3 linked regions of the Alligator mississippiensis genome follow. The protein of the gene in region 2 purifies or fractionates together with the protein of the main gene of each other region. This does not show direct contact. Links are inferred from orthologs where the notes say so. Each region holds a gene or a part of one and is shown on either strand. Other genes may lie near its edges. The genes, in order: NCOA6, PAGR1 and PAXIP1.

Region 1 (7,952 bases), on a different chromosome or scaffold from region 2:
AACACTGCACCTCCACAGCTATCTTCTGTACCACAGCCTCAGGCTTACAATAGTCTAGTATTTTATAAGTGTATCTCCAACTTCCTTTCCCCTCCCCAACCAGCTGTTATTAAACAACCTTATGTTTGCCCACAATATAATGGGACAAGAAACATTTCAGTATTGTGTTGTTGTCCCAAGTTCTATTTATGAACATTGATACCTATTCACAAAGAGCGTTGTCTCCACAATCATAAATTTGCCTTTAAATCACAGAAGTATGAAAGATGACAGCATCTTGTCCACAGCATCTCGGAGATAAATTAATGACCTGTAAAATATCCTCCTACAATCAAGTGACAGTGCTATACAGATGCTTTAACCCTTTGACATCCTCAAGAATAAAGTTATCTGCCACTGCAGACACTGTAAAGCAAAATACCTATGCAACTTAGCTGGATTCAAGCCACTAATTGAAATACATTAGATGTTAAGATAACCACTAATATAGACTTTAAAAAGTCTATAGAAATGAACTGATAACATTTACTGGATTTAAAATATTTAAACACCCATAGCCGAGTTATATGGGGCTGTGGTCATAATTATCTTACAGACCTCATACAAAGTAGTGTTAAGGGTATTCACTGAAATGTATCTCTGCAGGTCCATACTCTCTAGTGTTTAAGCTATTAAAAGTTTAAACAGTTTACAAAGTTACAAAGTTTACAAAGCCTGGATTTCCAAAATTTCAAGGGAGTTTACTAGATGCACAGTATTTCTAGGCTAAAATATTTCATTGCACTTAACATGAAACTGCCTTAACAGCAAGCTCCTTAACAAGCAACTTCTTCATTTAAGATCTAGAGACAGGCTTTTACGGATAGTGTTGACCACAGGAACTCCAGTTTGTGGACATCTATATTAAAAAGAAGAATTGAAACCTAAGGTAGGGAGGGATTTCGTAACTGTATCACCTGGAGAAGTGACAAACATACTTCAGAAAAACAGCAGGTCTACAAACAGGAGCCAGTTAGGGTGAGGGGCCTTTATAATGAGAATTAGGAGCCCAGTACCACCACACAAAATGTCATGATAAAGCCAAAAGCAATCAGGGCTTGTAGTAGAGATAACATCTTTTATTAGACCAACAAGATCTTGCAAAAAAAATTCTTTAAATTGCAAGCTTTTGGGCACAAACACCCTTCATCAGGCATTGGAGAAAAGATTGTAAAAGTTCTCCTGGGTAGAAACAAAAGTTCTTATTTCACAGGATTTCACAGAGGAGTCAATAAATGGAAAATTCCTCTGGGCAGGCAGATACCTGACACATGATAAAGCCAAGATAGTCTAAGCTAAGTTTTAAATGAAGAATTGTGATCCAATGAATAGGGTGGTAAATTAGAAGGCAAAGAGACACCCTCCCCCCCCCCCCCCCACACACACACACAGTTCAAAAGTGACCACTAACTTTGGGTGCGTGACTGGACACATCTATTGTCCAATTTTCTAAAGGTCTTGATGTACACAACTCTGCATGGAGCCTCTAAATTCAGTGAGTGCATGCACAGAATCAAATTAAGCAAAGATGACATTTAATGTTACTCCTCTGCTTTGTCTCTATTTAAATCCCCCCCAAAATGCACCACTTCAATTAGGTTGTATATACATATCAGTGTAACTGAAATGTAAAGACAAAATATTTTATTTTAACCTTGTAGGTATAAGAAAGACTACACTTGCTATAACTGTAAATATAACAGGTGTCAGCATCTGATTAAGTGAATCTGAGGCTCAATGCTTGCGTGCACTCACTCTCTCATACTGCACGTGTGGGCAAGTGAGTAGGCATGAGACAGATATTGACAAGTATTTGCAACCTAATTAAAGTGGTGCACGTTGGGGGGGATTTAAAGAGAAACAAAGCAGAAGACTAAAATTAAATGTCATCTCTGCTTGATTCCCACCAAAATTCTTGTACATATCTTAGCTCGCTCTCAAAGCCTGCCTCTGGAGAGCCAGTGGAGAAGTCCGATACCCAACTCAGCTCAAGCACAACCATCCCAGATGGCTCTACTGTCAACTAAAGGGAACTTCCCCCAGAAGGCTAGAAAGGGTTTGTTACCTGGCTCCTTTCCAAAGGGGCTGTGGAGGATTCAAATATAAGTCACTGACTGAATGTAGGGGCCAGTTTTGCCTGCACTTGTTCAAGGTTGAGAAACAGGGGAAACAAACCCAACAGGGGCCCAGGCAGAATAAAAAGCCCTGCACTAGACAAGCAAGTCTCCATGCTGATACTGCACTGATGTCCCCGCGGCTTTGGGAGGAAGCCAACCTGTCCCCCCACTCACCCCCACCCCCAAAGTAAAACCTCGGCCTTCGTTAGCCCTTTCCGGATCAGGCCGCTGCTTCCCCTCCGCGGGCTCGGGCCTGCCGTGCAGTGCAGGACAGGACAGGACGGGCCGGGGCAGGCGGGGGCCTGGCGCGCGGACCGAGCGGCGGGGTCAGCGCAGCTCAAGGGCAGGGGTCCGGGGCGGGCGTAGCCGGCCCAGCCCGAGCACTGGCGGCCGCAGTGCGCGGCAGCGCTGCATGGGGCCGCGGCCGAGCGGAGCCGAGCCGAGCCGGCCGGGGGAGGAGCCGCGCGGGGGGCGGGCTCGCTGCGACCAGGCCGGCTCCAGACAACAGGAGCCGGCGGCTCGGCCGGACCGTGACAGCGCGGGGCCTGCGGACAACGCGGCTCCGCCCGCGCCGGGGCCCTGCTTTGTGCTGCGGCCGGGGGGGCCAGACCCGCCCCGCCCCGCCCCGCGGGCCCGGCCCGCACCGCCAGGCCGCTCCCTCACACCCGCCGCCCCGCTTCCGCTTCCCTGTCACAGCCGCCCCGGCCCGGCCTGACGGGCTGCACGGAGGGGCCCGGCCCGGCCTCTGACCTCAGGCCCGGCCCGGCCCGGCCCGGCCCGGCTCAGCCCCTCCCCGCCCTGCCCTGCCCTGCCCTGCCCTGCCCTGACCTTGGGGCGCCGCCGCGGGCCCGCTCCGCGCGGCTGCCGCGAGCCGAGGCCCGTGTTGGGCCCCGCTCCGCCGGGCCGCGCCGGGCCGGGGTCGGTTCGGTGCCTGCCCAGCGCCCAGGACGCGCCCGCAGCCGCCGCGGCTCCGCCCTCGGCACCACGTGACGGGCCGGGACACGCCACCGCCGCGCCTGCCGCCCAGCGCGCCCGGGGAGGCCGCTCGCCCGAGCCCCGCCCCGCCCCGCCCGCGGCCCCGGGGACGGGCCTGCCGGCCTGCCGCGCGCGGCGCCCCGACTGTGCGGGCGGCTCCCCGCCACCGGCCTCGTACGGCCCCGCGCACATCCCCGGCCTTCCAGCGTGGAGCTCGAGAACAGCGACCCCGCGCACGCACCCTCCCTTGTCAGGCGGGGAAGCTCAGGGGCTGAAGTCCTCCTGCCCCCCAGCGCACCTGCAGTGAAACCCGAGGCCTTGCGCCCAGGAACCAGGCTCGAGTCATGCCCCACGGCTGCTGAACCTTCGTGGCCCCCAGCACAACGTCTTATTAATCCATGACTGGTGTGTCTCTGTGACACCACAGGCTAAACTGTTCCCCCACCTTTGGACCAGTCGCTCTACACCCCCAATCCAGACCGCTGAAGCTTGCCTAGCTTCTGGTGATTTGTGTTGCTATTTCTATCCAGCTCTGCAATCCAAAGTCACTGCCTGGATAAAGCTGTAGAAGGAAAATGGGGCCTTTGTAGAAAAATAGTAGGTGGCACAGCTTGATACCTACAGCACTTTCAAAGCTAGAGTCTCAATCTGCTTTATAAATATCAGTAAATTATTCCTTTATCACATCTCTGTCTTACAGCAGGGTAACCTGAGGCAGTCAGACATAGTGGAGTGGAGGGGTTTTAACTGTGCACATACGCACAGTTAATTAGTAAGGCTCCAGTCTTACAAGATGTTTTGTGCAGGCAGGTTATTGCACCTGTCTGAAATAGCATGGAAGTCCACCTGAAAATGGCTTAAAAGATGAGCAGCCATAGGATTTTACATGCTGGTCCTATAAAGTTGTTAAAACGAGCAATGCTAAGGTAACACAGGAAATCTGTGGCACTGGGAACAGCAGTTCAGTCTTCTGTTTGCCAGTCCTTTAATCACAAGGCCATCTTTCCGTGGTGGTAGTGAAAATAAATATATTGTAGTTATACATTAAGACTACTGAAATAATCAAAGTTCTAAATATTGTATTTGGAAAAAAACAAAGGCCTCAGCCCTGCAAACATGCACAAGCTTAGGTCTAGTCACATAAATAACCTTCCTAACTTCAAGGATGCTTTATGTGGCCAGTCTTCTGGAACAAAGTTCAGCAGGGTAAATCTTAGATAACAGGTCTAGGAAAGCAGTGAAACTGGCTTTCTGCAACTTACTGCACAAAGTAAATAACAAATAAATCTAATAATTACCAGACAGTCTGATCATTTGTATATAGATGTGAAAAAAATACACCACTTATCAACCAATGTCAACTTTAATTAAATTGCTATATACATATACTGTATGTAAAATCCTTTTTAGGGAAGGCCTTTGTACATAGATAGCTAGAGCCTAAGTCCCAACTCCAATTACAAAACTGCTGCCATGTGATCCCAACAGTTTAGACTAGGAAATTTTAGAAGGAATGATTTCACATAGGGTATGTATGGAGATTATTCGACTATTAGACAACCAAAACTCAAAGATATATTTATAGACTAAATCAACACCCTTTCTTTAGGTATGTTCTTCATGGAACTGCAGTCTTGGTGCCTTTCATTGGAGTTTGTATATATTCAGTTATGCCTTTAGTTCCTGTTTCTTTCTTCCTCGTCCTCTAGGATGATGATCATTTTAAGTGCAAGCCTTTGCCTTTAAGCCTGTTGAAGAATGAAGAAAGCCTTCTCTTCACTGCTACTTTCCATGCACAGTCCCTCTGACATCTCAGCAGAAGTGAGGTAGAGTGTCACTTACACACTGAGACAAGGAGGAGAGCTTTAGTCCTCTTTAATTTTTGAACCAGTGAGCACTTGTTTGCGTGAAATCTTTTTTGTAAGAAATGCAGTTCCCTGTGCTCTAGTTTATTTCATTTCCTACCTGTCCAGATAGTTTAAATATTAATTGAATTAAATACTGTGAAAATCCGGCAAAACTGAAATTTAAACAACATGTATTAGGGTCTGAGGATAATTCTTCTACCACACCTATTATTATGCCTTCTTCCATGCTGCCCCTACCACTTCCCAATCAATGCACTTACATCCCTTTCTCTTCACATTCTAACCCCTAAAAGCCTGACTTACGCCACCTAGCCCATAAAGTCATCCCACCTTGGAAGGCTGTCCCCCACAACAGTGGTTTAGAAATTAAATGCCTTATATCAGAATAACTCTAAAAATACTGCCTTCTCTGTGTTTTCTACTGTGTTCTGTCATCCTTGTGTCTTAGTTGAAATCTTTTTGAAGCTCAACATTTGTTTTGATCAGCACAAAGGCTTATAAGTATACCTTATATTTCAGCTGGAGATCTTAACCAAAGGAATGATACTTAGCAGGACCTTACTAGATACATTTGCTTTAATCATGTGGGTGCTTTAACTTCATGAGAGGGTCTGAAAGCCTTCCATATATAGACAAGTCAGCTCTGTGTCTGATGGTAGGTGGAATGATAAGCTCCAATTTGTGACATGTTGAGAAGGGAGGTACTCACCAGTACTTACAACTGAAGGGACATCAGAGTTGAAAAGGCTGATACAATTAGGAAATCTCTAATACTGGAGGACTTTTAGAGGGCATCTCCAGTTGGCAAATCAAGTATTATCTCTGGCTGCCAGTATCTGTCTGATGACCTGGCGGGTAGCAGGGAGAAGGGTTGAGATCAATATTTGCAGCCAGTGAACCAAATGTGGTTCAGCAGCACCAGCTGTCATATAGAGCTGGAATCCGCAGCATTGTAGGAGACTAAAAGACATATTCTAGTATAGTGTAATGGAGGGAAGAAATATTGTGAAGAGCAGAAAAGGGACCTTCAGTCACTTCACGCATGACAACCCTCTGTTCCTGGCCTAAATGTGCCCAGACAGGCCACCTCTACAGTGGCTTGGGTATTGTGGACAGATGCACACGTAGCACTAATGCTTGTGAGACCGCAGTGAAAGGCTCCTCAAAATAGTTCAACAAGGTTGGTGTGGACAAATAGAACCGCTTGTCCTGGACCAGCTATATTTAACATGGTAAAGTACAAACAGCTCGTTTATGTCTGTAAACCTATCAAATGAGGATTACCTCAGCAAAAGCAGCAAGTGGATGTTGCTGTTCTTTCCTCCAATAGCAGAATTTCAGTGTTCCAATTTGAGTCAAATGGATGCTAAATACAAAGAAATGCAAAAATGGCCTAAAGCTCCTTCACTGAGCAGTTTGGATCAATGCTTTCAGTGAAGTTTCTTCTGCTTCACCCAAGGTGTACATGAGATCACATTCAGACTCAACACTTTTCAGAACATCTCCAGTAATATGTAGCTTGTGTGGGAAGGGGAAATCAGGAATAGTCCTAGAAAAGGTTTTTTCACCTATTTATAAGAAAAGAATAAACATGTTTTTGAAAAAAATTAAGAACACTCTCTTCAGTAAGGTATTTTCTGCTGATCAACTTTTTGTACAATGAAAACAAGTGTACAACAGATATAAAAGTTATGAGAGGCTGAGAAATGCACATACATTAACCTTTCCAACAAACTTGTTTGGTTTAATTGAGCAACAAAATGAGAATTTAAATTTCATCTGAACTGGGGGTGTTTGGGTCGGAGGCTTCCTTGAAGGCCCATTTTATAAAGTGTGCTTAAGTATAAAATGTGCTTAAATATAAAGTCTTTAAGACAGGAATTGTCTCATACAGCCTGTACCTACAGCTCAGGTACAACTAGGTTCTGGTCTTGTTTTGGACTTCTAGAAACTACTGTAATATGAATAATGTTTAACAAGACAATGGAGTCTGTCAAAAAAAAAAATACTGTAAAGAATGAAACTGGTACCTCACAAGCTGGTAATAGAAAAAAGAAAACTGTATTTCAGTCTTTTTCACTTTATGTGAAAAAATGCACAGCTACAATTGATTTCAAGACAGTCACAGTTATGATTACAATGCATTTTCTTATGTCTGTATTTCCAAATAAAAATGATGCTATATAGCAAATGTGGTACTTTTATGCTCATACACATGACCAATTTTAGATTTTCCAAAATTAAATATTATATAAGGATTCCATTATCAGAACTTAATTTCTCCCTGCCCCTCTTAAAATGAACTAAGTGATTCCTAATCTAGAATCTCTACATGTTCACTTTATCATATGTGGGGAAGGAAATGGGGAAGACATATTTTGTTGAGATTTTAATGATCTTTCCTTATAATCCTCTCATACTTTTTTCTAGGATAAAAGAAGGAATGTGGTAAGGAAGGAGAGAACAAGAGTTTGGATACCAGAATGGTAGGTAAGGTTTAAATTACACATATAGTGATTGTCCTTCTACAGTTTTCTTTTAGCTGGGGGAATGTGATCCCTTCTTAGGGGAGGTGTATGCTGTGCTGAGGGATTGTCGCTAGTTCAATATTTTCTTCAAGTTAACTTGAAGAACTACTGCCCTCAATAAGCTATTGCCTTCAGGAACTTTTTCCCTCCAAAGTAGGTTCACCCTTGAGAGGATCATCTCCTTTTCACAAGCTGTGAACACTGGATGGCTCTTCTTTGGCCATCTTATTGTTGGAGAACTATTGAAACCATCTCATCTGTTCCATATACAGACTTACTTTCTTTTCTGAAGGACCATTAAATATGGCTGACCCTTCTGAAAATTGTCCTTCCTTGCCAGGATTCTCTTTTTTTTTCTAGCTTATAACTTTCAAAAGCACTTGGCTGAAGTATGGAAGAACTTTCTTATAAAGCAAACATTTACC
Region 2 (7,510 bases):
GAGCGGGTGCCGGGTGGGGGAGGCGGGGTGGGGCACCTGACCTCTGACCTCTGCCCACCGCAGGCTGGTGGTGCGCGGCGGCGTGGCGGCCCAGGCCCCTGTGCTCTTCGACTCGGACGTGGACGACGTGCCCGAGCGCGGGCTGCAGAGCGACGGCCCCCACCTCCAGCTCAGCCTGGTGTCCGATGGCGCCCGCGCCCCCCCGCTGCTGGCGCTGCGCTACGAGGGTGAGTCCCCGCAACCCCCGTGCGGAGCAGGGCCTGGGGCACCACCGTGCCGCTGACCCCCGCCACCCCGCAGCCTTCTCCGCCGACCGGTGCTACGAGCCCTTCCTGCCCCACGGCAACTTCAGCAGCACCGACCCCAGCTTCGGGCCCGGCGCCCTCGTCACCTTCGCCTGCGCCCCCGGCTACGCCCTGGCACCCGGCCCCCGCACCATCCAGTGCCAGGGGGCGCCGCCTCGCTGGAACGGCTCCGAGCCCCTTTGCAAAGGTACGGCCCCGTGCTCCTTGTGCCCAGCCCCCACGCTGCCCCTCCCTCCCAACCCGCTGCCCCCTGGCGGCGCTGCCCTCACGGGCCGTGTGCCGCCAGCGCTGTGCGGGGGGGAGCTGTCGGAGCCGGCCGGCGTGGTGCTCTCCCCCGACTGGCCGCAGAGTTACGGGCCGGGCCAGGACTGTGTCTGGACCATCCACGTGCAGGAGGAGAAGCGGGTGCTGCTGGACATGGAGATGTAGGTGCCACAACCCTGCCAGGGACCCCTCCCTTGCTCCCCCCCCCCCCCCGCTCCCCTGCAAGGGGGCATCTGACCCCCCCCCCACTATTTTCTGGAATTCCACCAAGAAAACAGGATCCCCCTTGCCCCTTTCCCATCCCGCCCCCCCCCGTTCTTTGGGGACCACCCTAAAAAACTGGGCCCCCCCCTCCCCCCAAGTGATGGCCCCTGACTGCCTTGTTCCCCAGCCCCTCCCTTGGGATCCCACCACTACCACCAGTTTCTGGCTGGGATCCGACCCTGGGTGTGGGGGGCCACAGGGTCTAGCCCCCCTCGCTCACCAGTGTCTGTTTCTTCTCTCCCTTTGTGTTTCCCCCCCACCCCTCCCGGCAGCCTGAACCTGCGGGGGCGGGACACGCTGACGGTGCTGGACGGGGCTGGGCTGGCGGGGCGGGTGCTGGGACAGTTCCTGGGCTCCCGGCCCCGCTTCCAGCTCACGTCGTCCGGGGCCGCGGCCACTGTGCAGCTGCAGGCCGACCCCACCGGGCCCCCGCCGAGCCCCAGCCAGGGTTTCCTGCTGCGCTACGCCGGTACAGCTCGGGGGGCGGGGGGCCGGGGGCGCCTGGCGTGCCGCGGGCCCTTGACCCATCTCCCTCCTGCGCAGAGGTGGACCGCAACGACACATGCCCCGAGCTGCCGGCCGTGCCAGGAGGCTGGCGCTCGGCCTCGCATGGCGCCCTGATCCGCGGCACCGTGCTCACCTTCCAGTGCCAGCCCGGCTACGCTCTGGTGGGCGCCGACGTGCTCACCTGCCAGTGGGACCTGGCCTGGAGCGGCCCCCCCCCCGCCTGCCGCCGCGGTAAGCCGGGTTGGGGGGGATGGTGTGGGGGGTGCAGGCAGGGGGGGCCCTGCCCTGCCCTGCCCTGACCCGTGCCCCCCCGGCGCAGTGGTGAACTGCGTGGACCCCGGCGAGGTGGCACACGGGAGGCGCAGTGCCTCGGACGGGCGCTTCCCGCTGGGCGCGCAGGTGCGGTTCCGCTGCAACGATGGGTACGCGCTGGAGGGCGCTGCCACGCTGACCTGCCACGCGCGCGACACCGGCGCGCCCAAGTGGAGCGACCGTGTCCCCAAGTGTGTCTGTGAGTGCAAGGGGTGGGGTGGGGGGCGGTCACGGGACAGGGGGCGGGGACCCGGTGCTGAGCGCCCGCCCCCCGCAGTGCAGTACGAGCCCTGCCTCAACCCGGGTGTGCCGGCGCACGGCTACCAGACGCTCTATAAGCACCACTACCAGGCGGGCGAGTCGCTGCGCTTCTTCTGCTACGAGGGCTACGAGCTGCTCGGACACGTCACCATCACCTGCCTGCCCGGGCGGCCCAGTGCCTGGACCGGGCCCCCGCCGCGCTGCAAGGGTATGACCCCCCACCCCTCCCCCACTGCCTGGCCTTCCCCCTCACTGCAAGGACAGCGTCCGTCCCCCCCAGACCCCACAAGCCCAAACCAGCGGCCAGAACCCCCAGCCCCCCCAGGATCTCCACAGCCCCTGGTGCTGCCCCCCACTCCCAACCTGCACCCCCCAGTGCCCTTCACCCCTGTCTCTCCCTCAGTGGCCTACGAGGAGCTGCTGGATGAGCGCAAGCTGGAAGGTGAGCGGGGCGGGGCGGGGCAGGGCAGGGCAGGGGGCGGGGAGCTGCAGGGGGTCCAGGAGCAGCCTAAGAGGCTCCCGGTCTCTGATTGGCAGTCACCCAGACGACAGACCCCTCCCGCCACATGGGGGGCGGGGGCCTGGCACTCGCTGTCTTCCTGCCCGTGGCCCTCGTCCTGCTGCTCCTTGGCGCCATCTACGTCTACTACACCAGGTACAGGCTGGGCGGGGCTGGGGCATGGTGCAGGGGGCGGGGCTTTCAGGCCACTGGGTGGGACCTAGGGCTTGGGGGCAGGGCTTGGGGGGTTCTTAAAGGGGTACCCAGATTCCACCTCTATGAGCTGGGTCTTAAAGGGAGGTGCGTAGGGAGGTGAGCATTAAAGGGGGGATTTCCTGGTGAGGGGGTGTTTCTTAAAGGGATGCTGTCTTGTCCTTGAAGGTGGTTAAATGGAGAACCCAGGCTGTTCCTTCTTAAAGGGACGGCATCCCTGCCTGCAGCAGGGTGGGGAATGGGCGAGGGGCTGGAAGGGGGGTGGGGTAAGCCCCGCCCCTCCCCTCCCCTCCCCCACCCATCTCATGGCCCCCCCCAGGTTCCAGGGCAAGTCGCTGTTTGGGTTCTCGTTTTCCAGCTCGCACAGCTACAGCCCCATCACCGTCGAGTCTGACTTCAACAACCCGCTCTACGAGGCTGGCGTGAGTGTGCCCCCCACCCCTGGATGCCTGGGCTCCCCCAGCCCCCCGAGAGGGGGTGGGGGGCTGGGGCTCCCGACTGATGGGGGTTTTCCTGCCCCACAGGACACCAGGGAGTACGAAGTCTCCATCTGAAGGCGCCGGGTGGGGGTGGGGGGGGCCATGAGGCCCCTCCTGCTCCCCTCCCCCAAAACACAGGCCGGGGCTGGGCCAGGACTGGACCCAGGATGCCATGGCCCCATTTCCACAAGGGGGGGGTCCGCCACCTGGCTCCCGAGCCATCCCAGCATGCCTTGCGGCCCCCCCAGCCCCACCCTGTAAATACCCAGGATTCCATGTGCCAAGGCTCACGCACCCCGTTCCCCCCCCAGCTTCATTACCGTCATGACCAAGGTCCTCACTCCTCCCCACCGCCCGGTTAATTTATATCAAGCGTCCTATTTATTTCTGTATTTATTAATTTATTTGTGGCAGGTTGAGGAACGGGGCCCCCCAGCAGTTAGTTCACTGTCCCCTTTAAGGGCCTAAAACAAGGGCAGGAGGGAAATTGTGTTAGAGCATGCCCCTTTAAGGGGGGTTAAAAAAAATGCTTCCAGGCTATAAAAATCATGCAGGAGGATGTTTATTCCGAGTCCTCGAAGAGCATAGGCTTTTGGGAAGGGAATCCCTTTAAGGAATTTTAAATAAAAATGGGAGGGGATTTACTCCCCAGAGCATCCCTTTAAGGTCCATTGCTTGGCTTGAGTGCAAGGGGGGGCTTTTAGTTTGGAACATCCCTTTAAGATTTAAAGCAACAGATGGGGGAGGGATGGCTCTAAGTAATCTGGGGGATACTAAAGCAGGCCTTTAAGGGCTTGGTAAGGGGAACTGTGGTGAAGGGAGGAGCCCTCATCCCTTTAAGATCACAGCTATTCCTTTAAGAGTGCCATTACCTTTAAGAAATGGAGTGTAGGAGGGCAAATATTCCTGTGCCATTCTTCGGACGGATACCCCCAGAAGGGGGAAAGGGGGGGAGAGGTGTCCCACAGGCCCCGCCTCCCCGGGGGGGTGTCCTAGCCCCACTTCCGGCCCGTTGGAGCAATAACAATAAACGAGGGAATCGCCTTTGTACAAGCCCACGGCTCCGCCTCTGCCTGGGGGAGAGGGCGGAGCCTAAGGAGGCACCGCCCCTCCGGGTCATGAAGGGAAGCCCCGCCCAACACTCCAGCACCACTCTGGGCTCCGCCCCTTTGCCCCTTCCCCCAGTAGGCCACGCCCCTGCTAGGGCCTGCCCCTTAGACCCTCCCCACTAGGCGCCGCCTTCGACAACGTACCGTTAGGCCCCGCCCCCTTTGCCCCTCCCCCCTAGACCCCGCCTCTTAGCTCCATCCGCTTTAGACCTGCGAGGCCCCACCCTCGTTGCTCCCTGCCCAGTTGGGGTGGCCACGCCTAAGCCCCACCCCTTTATGCACGCACCAAGCTCCGCCCCCATTTACCATGCCCCTTGCCTTCGCCTTGTAGCCCCGCCCCTCCAGCACAACGAACGGGGGGGGCCTGCCGTCGGGCGCATGCGCAGTGAAAAGCTGCGGACATGGTTATGCGTATGCGTGCTGGTTCATGGAGCGGGAAGGGGGGAGGAAATTGACAAAGTGCGCATGCGTAGCTCCATCCCAGGAGGGAGGTGATATGCAAGGGCTGTGGCTGCGCAGTGGAAGCGAGGCGCCGGCGCGTACGTTCTTCAAAGAGCTGTTGCGGCAAAGCAGAGCGCACGCGCTCTGGAAACGGGACGAAGGCTTCTGCGCATGCGCCTCGGGGCCGCCGGTGCCAGAGGGGCTTCAGGGCTCGCCTTGTCGCGCATGCGCACTGATGAGCCACGGCCGCGCTCTAGTGGCGAGCGCATGCGCAGCCTAGTGATCCGAGCGGGAACGCATGCGCAGAGGCGCCGGGACGGCTGGAGGGGGCAAAAGGCGTCAAAATGGCGACCAGTCAGCCTGGGGCCTAGGCCTGATTGCGATTCCGATTCCTTCTGCTCTGCCTTCGCCTGCTGCAGCCTGAGCACGGACCTGGAGCTGCCCCCGGGGTCAGTCAGGCTGGGGCCCAGCTGGCGGCTTGTGCACATCTCCAGGACAGCCGCCATGTTGGCGTGACCCACTGCGCTCAATGCCAGACCTGGCCTAGCCCTGCAAGATGGCTGCTGCCATGGCATGACCTGCTGCGGGCAGTGCCCAGCCTGGCCTATCTCCCCAAGACAGCCACTGCTTTGGCATGACAGCCGGGGTCACCGCTGGCCCTTGCGTGCCCGCGTGACATGGCTGCCGTGTGGCCTGGCTCATCTTTGCTGACCGCCCAGCCTGGTCTAGGTCCCCAAGGTGGCCGCCGTGTCGGCGTGACCTCTTTTGGGTCACTGCCCGGGCTGCCTCAAGGTGGCGCAACCTGCCATCGTGTTCCAAGATGGCTGCCCCGTTGACCTGAAGCCCCCCTCCCCCTGCAGGCAGCCATGGAGTCCGTGGTGACGGAGGAAGAAGGGGAAGTGACCTCGGGGATGCAGCTGCTGGCCGTGGAGGATCCTGCAGGCCCCGAGGAGGTGCCGGCCGGGGCAGAGGAGGAGCCGCAGGGGCAGGAGGAAGACACGGCGGCAGGCGGGGAGGAAGACTGGTGCGTGGGCTGCAGTGACGAGGAGGTGGAGGCCCCCGAGGCCTGGATGCCACCACCTACTGAGATCCGGCGCCTGTACGAGCTCATCGCGGCGCAGGGCAGCCTGGAGCTGCAGGCCGAGAGCCTGCCCCGCCGCGCCCCCACGCCCGAGCCCGACAGCGAGGAGGACGAGCGCTCAGATGGGCCCCCGGCCAGTGAGGAAGAGGAGGAGGAGAAGTGAGCACTTGGCCTGAGTGAAGGGATGCGGGTCGGGAGCGAGGGGCACCGCTGGAGGCCAAGGGGCTTTGGGGGGCTGAAGGGCAGGGCTGAGGGGTCCCATGGGGCTCTGGGGGTTCCCCCATTCCTGCCACCCCTCCAGTGACAACCTCTCTGCCCCCAGGCCCCACATCCCGACTGAGTTTGACTTTGACGACGAGCCTGCCTCACCCAAGAGCACCCTCATCGACCGTCGCAGAGCACCAGGTAAGCCCATGGGGGGACCCTGGCAGCCAGGCCTGGCAGGGGCAGGGGTGTGCAGGCGACCCTAGGGCTGACACATGCACTTGCCGCAGGCGCAGGGTCACGCAGCCAGAAGCGGGAGGCGCGGCTGGATAAGGTGCTGTCAGACATGCAGCGCCACAAGCAGCTGGAGGAGCAGATCCTGCGCACCGGGCGCGACCTCTTCCAGCTGGACAGCGGTGATGAGCCCATGCCCAAGCGCCCGTCTGGACTCTTCCTGCGCCAGCGCAAGTACTGACCCCTTTGCAGGGCCCTGCCGCTGCAGGAACCTCAAAGGCCGGGTGTGATAAAGTGACAGGTGAGAGGAGCAATGAACACCTGGCCCAGCCAATGGTAGCAGGGACCAACGGCTGGGGGGATGAAGTGGGACCAGCTCCTGGAGTGACGGACAGCTGGCCCAGCTCATGGGAGCCCGAGGAGAGGTTGGGGCGGGGGTTGAAGTTGCTTGATTATGGTACAGGGGCCACTCCCATCCTGGCTAAGAGCCTGGCTATGAGCCTGACCACCCAGGGAAGCCCCAATAAAGTGTCTGCTGCCCCCTCCCATTGCCTGGATGCTCATCCCTACTCACAGCTTGGGGGGGGGTGTCTAATGCAGCCAGGAGGTTATTTAATCCAGGCACCTCCCCATTTTGGAAGAAGACATTACATTTCCTCTCCCCAAACACTCGCCCTCCCCTTTACAAATTAAAACAAATATTTTTATGTTTCTGGGCCACTTAAATAAAATCTCTTTAAGAGCCAATGACTAAAAAGCAGGAGAATGATGATTCTAATCCCCTTTCTCTTAAATTTGCCCATCCCCTTCTCCAGCTGGAGGCATGCCTGCCGCTTTAAACTCCTTACAGGGATTTTTCCCAGGTTCTTAAAGGGATGATTCTAGAATAAAAGCCTATTTGGTTAGAAGCAGCTCTTAAAGGTGCAGCTCCCTAAAAGGAAGGAGAAATTGGGGCAGCGGCAGTAACAAAACATGCTTTATTTGGAAATGTACAAAAAGGGGGTGGAGAGAGGATAGAACCAACAAGGGGAAGGGGTGGGGCCTGGCCAAACCCCGCCCCATCACTCGCTGTCGTCCTCGTCGCTGCTGATGATGCCGCGGAGCTGGGACCAGTCGGGGCGGGTGCGGGGGGGGCTGGGCGCTGGCGGGGTGCTGGGCGCCGCGTACAAGCTCCATACATTGCGGCGGCGTGGGCGGCCTGCGCAGGGAGGGCAGAGGTCAGAGCACCGGGGAACCCAGGCATCCAGCCCCCACCCCCTGCTCAGTCGCTGTACGCACCGTGGGAGGGAATGATGTTGCCCAAGTCCAGCGCGGCCACCTCAGCCTCCTGCTCGCGG
Region 3 (8,074 bases), on a different chromosome or scaffold from region 2:
ATTTAATTCAACAGTTTAATGAAATTTTACAATAAAGTAATAATACTTAGAACTTTTATCCAACGCACCTAATGAAAACAGTAGCAACCAGATTCTGCTTCCCATAATTTATGCTAAGCAGTACTTTAGTTGCACATAGTTTCCTTCAGTGAAACTACTCGGAGTGAAGTGATTTTGAAGTAATAATATGCCAGGGTACCAAAAACTAGCTTATAATAATTAACTGTCATAATACCGCTGTGAATTGGAAATTACTATCCACATATTATAGATAAGGAACCTGAGGTCCCAATTCAGTCATTTTTACATGTTTTAATTTTAAACATACTCATCATGTTTCATTGAAGCCAAAAGGAGTTGAGCAAGATTTCAGTGCTTTGCTGAATCGAGGCCTGCAGGTCACGCAGTACAGTGTCTGCTGCCTGTTAGAATCAAACTGGACATCGCACGTTTGATCCTAACAACTTGCAATTCCAGTAAGTGGTGAGCCATCAAAGTAAAAAGTGGTGGAGTACTATTAAAAAAACTCTGTAGAGCTTTGCTATTTTGTTGTATTTCCTTTTTTATTACTGTAAACTTTAAGTAAACGTAAAATCTGGCTGTATAGCAAAAACATGGTGGGCAGCGTGAGCCAAAGTGGACTCAATTTGAATAGCCAGCACAGAAAAAAAGAGCCAGGATGCGTAAATTGTTGAGATTCTAATAGAAATCCAAATCTGTAAAGCAAGACGCTAGTGAGTGGTGGGAAATGCATGTAGCACAATATCTTTGGCTTTTGATTTTGGGGTTTTGCTGGGGCACCTGCATCAGTTTTACATTAAACAGTCATTGGATAAAAAACAGAAATACTCCTAGGAACAGAAATTAAAATCTAAGACTTTCCCTTCCTAGGTAAGTATCTTAACTACTCAGACCTTTTTTATGCTGGGGAGAGGCCCCATGACACTTTCATTTCTTGTTAAACATTTAGACATTTCATTTCTGTTAAAGCTGCCCAGTGGGCCAGCTTTAACAGGTTGGGAGGTGAATCCTGGGAGATGAGAAAAATGGGTTTGAAACCTGGTGGGATGAGGAAAGCCTAGAATCCAGATCTCTCACTTCCTAGGCCAGTGCTTCCCAACCTTTCCCTTAGCATGACCCCATGTAAACACTGGAAAATTTTCACAACCCCAAAATGATGCAGACAAGATCAACGTGCCCTCTCACCGTGGATGGCATGGCTGGAGTGGAGCCCATGGGGGTGGGGGGAAAGGATGTGGGCTGCCTGCTGCAGGTTCAGGGCTCCCTGCCCTGATGCCCTCCCCTCAGGGGCCTCCATGGCCCAGCTGGTGGAACCCGGCACAGGAAGGCAGAGGGTGGGGAGGCCAGTGACACTGCCGGGAGCCCCACACCAGTTGCACTGCCACGGCAAGGTGCCCCTGCATTCCCAGCAGCAGCAGTGTGGAGTTGTGCTGGGTTGGCAGGGGGTGCCTCTCCATGGCAGCTTATCCAGTGTGGGGCTCCTGGTAGTGGCACTGAGCCTCCCTGCCCTGCTTTGCCCTCCTGTGTTGGATCTTACCTGCTGGGCCGTGGAGACCCTGGGAGAGGGCAGCATGGTGGGGAGCCTTGAGCCTGCAGCAGGAAGCCTGCTGTGCAGGCCGGGTCAGACCCCAGGCCCTTTTCGTCGCTCTGCACGCGGGCTGTGGCTGGCAGCCCGGGCAGGCCGGGTCGGAGAGGGCGGGCGCCAAGTTAGAATTAGGCACAGACACGTAACGGTTGATTTTAAGATTGTTTACTTACACCGAGACGGTCGCGGTGCAGGCTGAGAACTTGCTTGAGTTGCGGTTACAACAGAAAACACGAACACACGTGGAGTTTGCTAGGCTCCACGCAGACAAAACACGAACAATCACGTGGAGGTTGCTAGGCTCCACGCAGACAAACTCCGGATGTCCAGGACAAGCGCGCATTAAACTCGTCGATACATCTTATAGTAGGCTCCGTTCGAAGACGGGAAGAGGTGGGCGGTGGATCAGGCCGCCAAACTCCTCTGGGCAACACACAGAGTTTCTGTTACCCTGCCGCACACACCCAGAGTCCCCACGAGATGGATGCGGAGTCCTCTTCGGTTTGGGTGGAAACTGCTCAAGCCTCTTATAAGGCTAGCAGGCCAATCGCTAGCTGCCACGTGTGAATAATTTAGCACTAGCCAATTGCGGGGCACAAATTTGCATACAACGAGCGGGAACTCTTTGCACCATGCATTTCTGTGTTGCAAAGAAAATGCACCCTGCAAAGACCGCTGCAAAGTGGCGGGAACTCTCTTCCTTGCACGCGGGTTCTCTGCGCAGCAGAACTCCACCGTGCAATGAAGCTGTAAACCCACGGGGATAATTCGAGTGCCGAAGCACACACAAAAAAAATCAGACCTTTGGGTCATGACACCTGCATCTGCCCCCACCCCATGCAAAAATCTGGGGGGCACATGCTCCTCCGGGAGCATGTGCAATAGCTGGGAGCCAGCCCCCCTGCTGCCCCCTGGACGAGCCGCCCATGACTCCATCCTGCTCTCCCAGTCAGGCCCCATATTCCAACCCCAGCCCTGGGTCCCATGCACCTGCCCAGCTGGGCAGTTTCCCCAGCCCCAGCTTCATCCTGCTCCCTCCCTTCCACCCCGTGGGGGACTCAATCTGCCCTCCCCTCCCATAGACTTACTTGGAAGGAGCTGCTCTCCACATTGCCTGGCTGCCCATGCATCTGTATGCATGCACATGCACGTGGCACCACTGCCTGATCGCTCTCCTCCGGCTCTCCCAGCCCCAAGCAGCCCTGGGCAGGCTGTACCTCTGCCAGCCTGCAAAGCGAGCCTGCCATTTCCCATTTCTTTCTGTGATTTTCATCATAATCAGTCAACAGTTTTGAGTGTCTTTGTGGCACTATTTTTTATCATTGTAACCTCAAATGGGTTGCAAGCCCAAGGTTGGGAACCGCAGTCCTAGGCAAATGCTGTCATCAGCAGGCAGTTACACAAAAGGTCATGAGTTGCATGTCTTTCTTTTCTCTAGCACCCCTTTGTGCCAGTTCTTTAAAAAGAAAGCAGTAAGTCCAACTCAGTTCGTTGAAAGAACAATTATGGGGTCCAGCCCTCAGGCGAGGATTTTCAGGATGCTGATCATGAGTATTGGGATTGTATCCAAATAGCAAAAGCCATAGCTGTCCATGCACTGATAGGTTCTTTGTTTTTGGCAGCTGAAGGCATTTGCATTGCATCTCTCAGCAAACCATCGTTTGTCCTCAATAATTATGGATCTACCAAATTCAGGGTGGCTGCCCGTCAATTTCCCAGGCAGAATATGGGGTCCAGAAGCTATTTTGTGGGCCACTCCGCACCTCTGCTTGGCTGAGGGCCTCACCCCTCCCTACTGATTGGCTGCAAGGGCCATCCATCATGCAGCCCAGCCCCTCATCACCAACTGGAGGAACAGGGTAGCAGCCCTCACAGCCATCTTGCCTGTAGCCCTTCAAGTGGCCAGCCCCCTACTGCCGCCTCCTCCCCAGGCTGCAGCACCCTGGGGACTGCTGGCTCCCTGTGGGCAGCCAGCATTTTATTTTAAGTAATTCTTTTTCTTCCCCATGGATTTCATGGGCAAAGCCAGAATTTGCAGAATCTGTGAAATCACGACTTCGACAGGTCCCCATTCATAACGCTTGCTCAGTGGCAGCTTATTACAACGCTGGTATTCACAGCTCGGACTTGGGTGCCTCGGCTCTGCGGACGCATCTCTCTGCTTGGCGTTTTCTACTGGCCAGCACCCTGCAACGCGCCACCTCGCTGCCCATACCAGGCACCGTAACCCCAGGCACCTGACTGGGGGCAAGACCCTTTGCAGCTAGATACGCAGGCATCTACATCTTCGGTTGGATCTGGCTCTCACCCCCGTGCTTTTACAATGTAGTTCCTCATACGAAGATCAGCGTTGGTATGATCTATTCTGGCCTGCCAGGAGCCGAGAGGCCCGTGGAGTAACACGGTTAAGGCACACTAATTCAGCAGCTAACGCCAGGGCTGACACGGGACCCCTTGGGGAGAGGGGTGCGGTCGGGGGTCCACTTCCCCCTGGTTTGCAGGGGACCGTCGGAAAGTGGGCCCAAGCTCCTGCCCACGTGCGTGGGATCCTGCCTGCAGAGTCACTGCCGCCGCTGGACCCTGCCGGCAACCGAGCCATCGCCAACCCCCGTCCTCGACGGACGTGGAACGTGCTCATCATCTCGGGAGCCTGGAGGGGTATCAGCAGCCATGCTCCTGGAGTGGCGTTTCTCAACCCGTGTGTCACCACCCGAAAGTGGGCCGCAAGAACCTAGGACGACATCGTGAACAAACTTAAAGGAGAGTCCATTTTTTTTAGGAGAAAAAAATGTGGCTTTTCTCTCTGAGCCCCAGCCTGCAAGGGGCTGCTGGGGGTCCCACACGCCCACCCCCTGCCCCACACACTGCGGCGGGGCGTGGGTCGGCAGTGCCGGGCGCTGGATGGGGACCGGCTATTGACATTGACTTTTTGTCGTTGTTTTTTTGTTTCCAAATTAGCCAAAAAAAGCAACCCGCACGTGCCGCGCCGGGGCCAGGGCCGGGGCCGCGGGAGGGTCCCGAACAACAAAGGTGGGGACGCGGCTCCGGCACGTGGCCGCGCGCTCCGCAAGGAGGCGCCTGAGATTGCGCGGGAAGGGGCGGGGCTGGGGGGCGAGGCCCGACCGACGCCCCGCCCCCTCCCCATGGGCGGGCCCAGAGCTGCCGCCGCCGAGCGGGGAGAGTCCATCTGGGCCACGGGGCGGGGGGGGGGTTGAGGGCTCAGCCGCCTCCCGGGCTGAGGAGGGACGGCGGAGCCCGGCGAGTGCAGCCGGGGGGTAGGGCCGAGGAGGAGGCCGGGGCTGCGGGGGTTGGACGCGTGGCGGCTGGTCCTGGCGGCAGCTCCCTCCCCCCCGCGGCCCGGCGGTGAATGGTTCGCTCCGCAGCGCGCGCCGGGCTCCCGCGGTCTGGGTGGGGGCGGGGCTGCGCGGGGAGGGGGAGGGGCCGGCAACGCAGCCCCGGGGCCGGGCCGGGGCCATGGCGGCGACGGCGGGCGAGGAGGAACTCCGTGTGCCCGAGGACATGTTCAAAGACGTCAAGTTCTTCGCGGTGGGAGACATCGACCCCCAGGTACCACCCCCCCACCCCGTCCAGGGGCCGCGTGGGCTCTTCCACCCCTCCCCCCCGCCCCAGTGACGGGCCCCTCCCCCACCCCTCTGGGCGGTGACGTCACGGCGCGGCCCGCCCCGCCCTGCCCCGCCCGCCCGGCCGTGCTGGGGGGCTGGAGCGGTTGTGTCCCCCCAGGGACCTGTCCCTCCCGGGAGCCGCAGTGCCCCGGCGCGCACCGGGCCCGGCCAGGAGCTGGGCCCAGCCAGGGCGGCCCCTTTCTGTCCCCGCGCCGCTCTCCTCCTTGGCGGCCAGAGTGAAGCCGGGCCTCGGGCTGGGGGTACCTGAGGCGGGCGGGCGGGCGGGCGGGACGTGTGGTGCCAGGCCCGGGCCGGCAGGAGGGTCTGCGAGCGCTTGTTGCTCGCTCCGGGGTTTCGGCCGCGTTCAACTTTCTTCCCGCTGTTTTCTTTCGCAGGTGTCCGGGGTTTCGCGGGCTCTTGAAGTTCGTGAGATTTCAGGCTGGTTTGTGACCACGAGAACAACAAATGCGTGGTCTGCCTGGCGGACAGGGTTTTTTTGGGTGAATCGGATCTCTTTTATGAGACCAACTTCAGTCGATACACCCTGTTAACCTTGTCTGCCTCTGTCCTTAGACCCGCATGGCTACTGCCTGCACCCTTGGGGGAGTTTTCCAGCTGTACCCCTATATAATTAACGCCAGGATAACGCTGCCCCGTGTAGACCCTGCCTTCGCAATGAGCGGGGGTTTCGTTTTTGTTTTCCTCTCCGCAGCTCGTGCTTCCAAACGTTTGGAAGCGCTGCGAGTCGTGTTGTAATAGGTTTTCTTGTACCGTGATGGGACGTGCAGATAGGAGTTAGGCAGGGGGTGACAGTCGTACTCGAAATTCACTCCCTGCCTTATATCAGTATTACATCTCAGAAAACTGCAGGGCGATGGCACAAGCGGCCCAGGGAAGTTTGAGCATCTCCTTCATTGGAGGTTTTCAGGAAGAGGCTGGATAAGTACTTGACGGGGATGGGTCGAGAATAGTGTCCCGTGGAGTTAGTTGTGCATTTAGCGGTCTCTGTTTAGCCACTTAGCGGGGCTTGTTGTTCCTAGTGGACCTAGGTCCGCCATCAGCATATGAGACAGGACTGCCATCATGCAGAGGAGTGGACTAGGCATCTGTGAAGGGACCTTTCAACTCTGTGGTCCTATGAGCTTTCCTGTGAAAGCAAGCCCTTAAACTTGAAGTTCAGAATTCATCAGAATTGCTATTTCCGTGTTGCAGCATGTGGAAATATTTCAGGACTTTTAATGCATAATTTCATTGTAAGTCATAGCTTATTATAAGTCTGTTTCTCTATTCCACCTACATATGTAAGCCTACGTATCCTACATGTAACATACCTACATGTTCCACTTATGGGCAAAAGCTGTCTAAGGCAGGAGCTGGCAACCTGTGTCCCCTGGGCCCGCAGGGTGATTGGGTCCAGCCTGTGAAGTTTTGATCTGGCCTGTGGTGGCACCAGGGGGTCTGTGGTGAATGGCTTGCCCGGGTGCATCCCCATTTTTTGCCCTGGGCCGTACATCCCCTCTAGTCTTCCCTGCCCCCTTGTCTTGCTCTATGCAACAGGCAGTGCTGCTGAATTTGCCCCTCCCCGTTGCTGTTAGGGACAGGAATCAGTGGCACTTGGCAGAGGTGGTGGCTCACGGTGGAGGTAGGAGCAGGTGTGAGGCTATTGCCAAGGGGGATCTATGGTGGCGATTGACAGGTTGTGACAGTGGCTTGGTTGCAAGCAGTGGCCTGGCACTCAACCCTGCCCTGATCAAGTGGAATTTGGATGGCCAGTTTTTCTTACATTCAACCCCTTTGCAGATTTAGCAATTTGTATAATAATAACCAATCTTTTTTCCTTTTTTGGCTTGTGCATGATTTTCTGTTCTGTTTTTATTTGAGTACCTGCCATGGTTGATTAAGGATTAAGGTTGATTAAGGATTTTGAAGTAGGGAAAGTTTTGCAATGCTATGAAATGTGGGAGACCTCTAGCAAAACTTTGAATCAGTGGCTCAGTGGGGAGGATTTAATTTTGGCTAGTTGGGTATTGCGAGTACTCTCTTCAGAGCAGATCCAGAGCGAGGCCTTATTTTACCTCTTCACTTTTTGCTGTGTTTGGGGAAATTGCTGATTTTAAGTGTGGTAATTTGTGAGTTTTCTGTTTACAGCAGTTTGTAGAATGTTCTTCTGGATCTATTTCATGGTGTCTAAAAAGTTAATCTTAATATAATCGTATTCTGGAGAGAATTTGATTGAAGAGTGGTAATTGTTAAACCTGTGGTGAAAGTCAGTAAGTGAGTCTAGGTATACTACCGCAGTGCCCAACCTTCTGGCCCTGCAGGCTGGGTGAGTGGTGCAGGACTCATTCATGTGGGGTCGGTCTGGCTGCCCGCTGCCCTGATCTAGCTGTGGGCCAGATCCTATGCAGGGTTGAGCCGGCCACATGCTGCCCTGATCTAGCTGCCTGCCCCTGTCTCTCAGTCTGGCCACATGCCTGACTTGGCACCTGCTGGCCTGCACAGTAGATCCAGCTGCCCGCAGGGCTGCTAATGTGGCAGTGAGAGAGTAGCAATTAATGTTGTCACTGTTCCCTTTCCCCAAATTTCTGGACTCTTGAGGAGCCCTGTGGGCCAGATGATACCATTCCAGGGATTGGGGTTGAGCACCCCTGCCTAGTACAAGAAAACCCCCCTTTGACCACACACTCTTGGTTGTCACCTACCATCCCACATTTGAACCTATAAGAACGATCATCAAACTACTATGAGGGCACCCTACAAACTGCTGTACTTGAAAAGAACCAGACCTTGAGAAAAATATTCCCAGTTCCCCTGGCTCTTCGTCTTCAAACAGCCCCTAACCTTG

What was found.
Region 1: the proteins of PAGR1 (region 2) and NCOA6 purify together in Homo sapiens (affinity purification with mass spectrometry; 3 studies listed by BioGRID and IntAct, with this or other methods). This does not show direct contact. The link is inferred for Alligator mississippiensis from reciprocal best matches to the Homo sapiens genes PAGR1 and NCOA6.
Region 3: the proteins of PAGR1 (region 2) and PAXIP1 purify together in Homo sapiens (affinity purification with mass spectrometry; 6 studies listed by BioGRID and IntAct, with this or other methods). This does not show direct contact. The link is inferred for Alligator mississippiensis from reciprocal best matches to the Homo sapiens genes PAGR1 and PAXIP1.

Annotation. Positions count from the first base shown.
Region 1 is NC_081832.1:23,726,036-23,733,987, reverse strand, and holds the start of NCOA6 (nuclear receptor coactivator 6), read right to left. Parts: upstream 3,094-7,952; 5' UTR 2,985-3,093; intron 1-2,984. UniProt on the Homo sapiens protein: Nuclear receptor coactivator that directly binds nuclear receptors and stimulates the transcriptional activities in a hormone-dependent fashion. Coactivates expression in an agonist- and AF2-dependent manner.
Region 2 is NC_081830.1:293,278-300,787, forward strand, and holds PAGR1 (PAXIP1-associated glutamate-rich protein 1), read left to right. Parts: upstream 1-4,591; 5' UTR 4,592-4,752; intron 4,753-4,760; exon of another isoform or gene 4,761-5,103; intron 5,104-5,514; 5' UTR 5,515-5,520; coding exon 5,521-5,894; intron 5,895-6,057; coding exon 6,058-6,140; intron 6,141-6,229; coding exon 6,230-6,414; 3' UTR 6,415-6,920; downstream 6,921-7,510. Other genes in the region: SEZ6L2 (seizure 6-like protein 2), read left to right, coding at 64-227, 301-492, 592-730, 1,106-1,302, 1,377-1,571, 1,660-1,851, 1,930-2,121, 2,317-2,355 and 3 more; HIRIP3 (HIRA-interacting protein 3), read right to left, coding at 7,235-7,371, 7,452-7,510. UniProt on the Homo sapiens protein: Its association with the histone methyltransferase MLL2/MLL3 complex is suggesting a role in epigenetic transcriptional activation. However, in association with PAXIP1/PTIP is proposed to function at least in part independently of the MLL2/MLL3 complex.
Region 3 is NC_081828.1:204,856,459-204,864,532, forward strand, and holds the start of PAXIP1 (PAX-interacting protein 1), read left to right. Parts: upstream 1-5,037; 5' UTR 5,038-5,080; coding exon 5,081-5,173; intron 5,174-5,545; exon of another isoform or gene 5,546-6,467; coding exon of another isoform or gene 6,468-6,482; intron 6,483-8,074.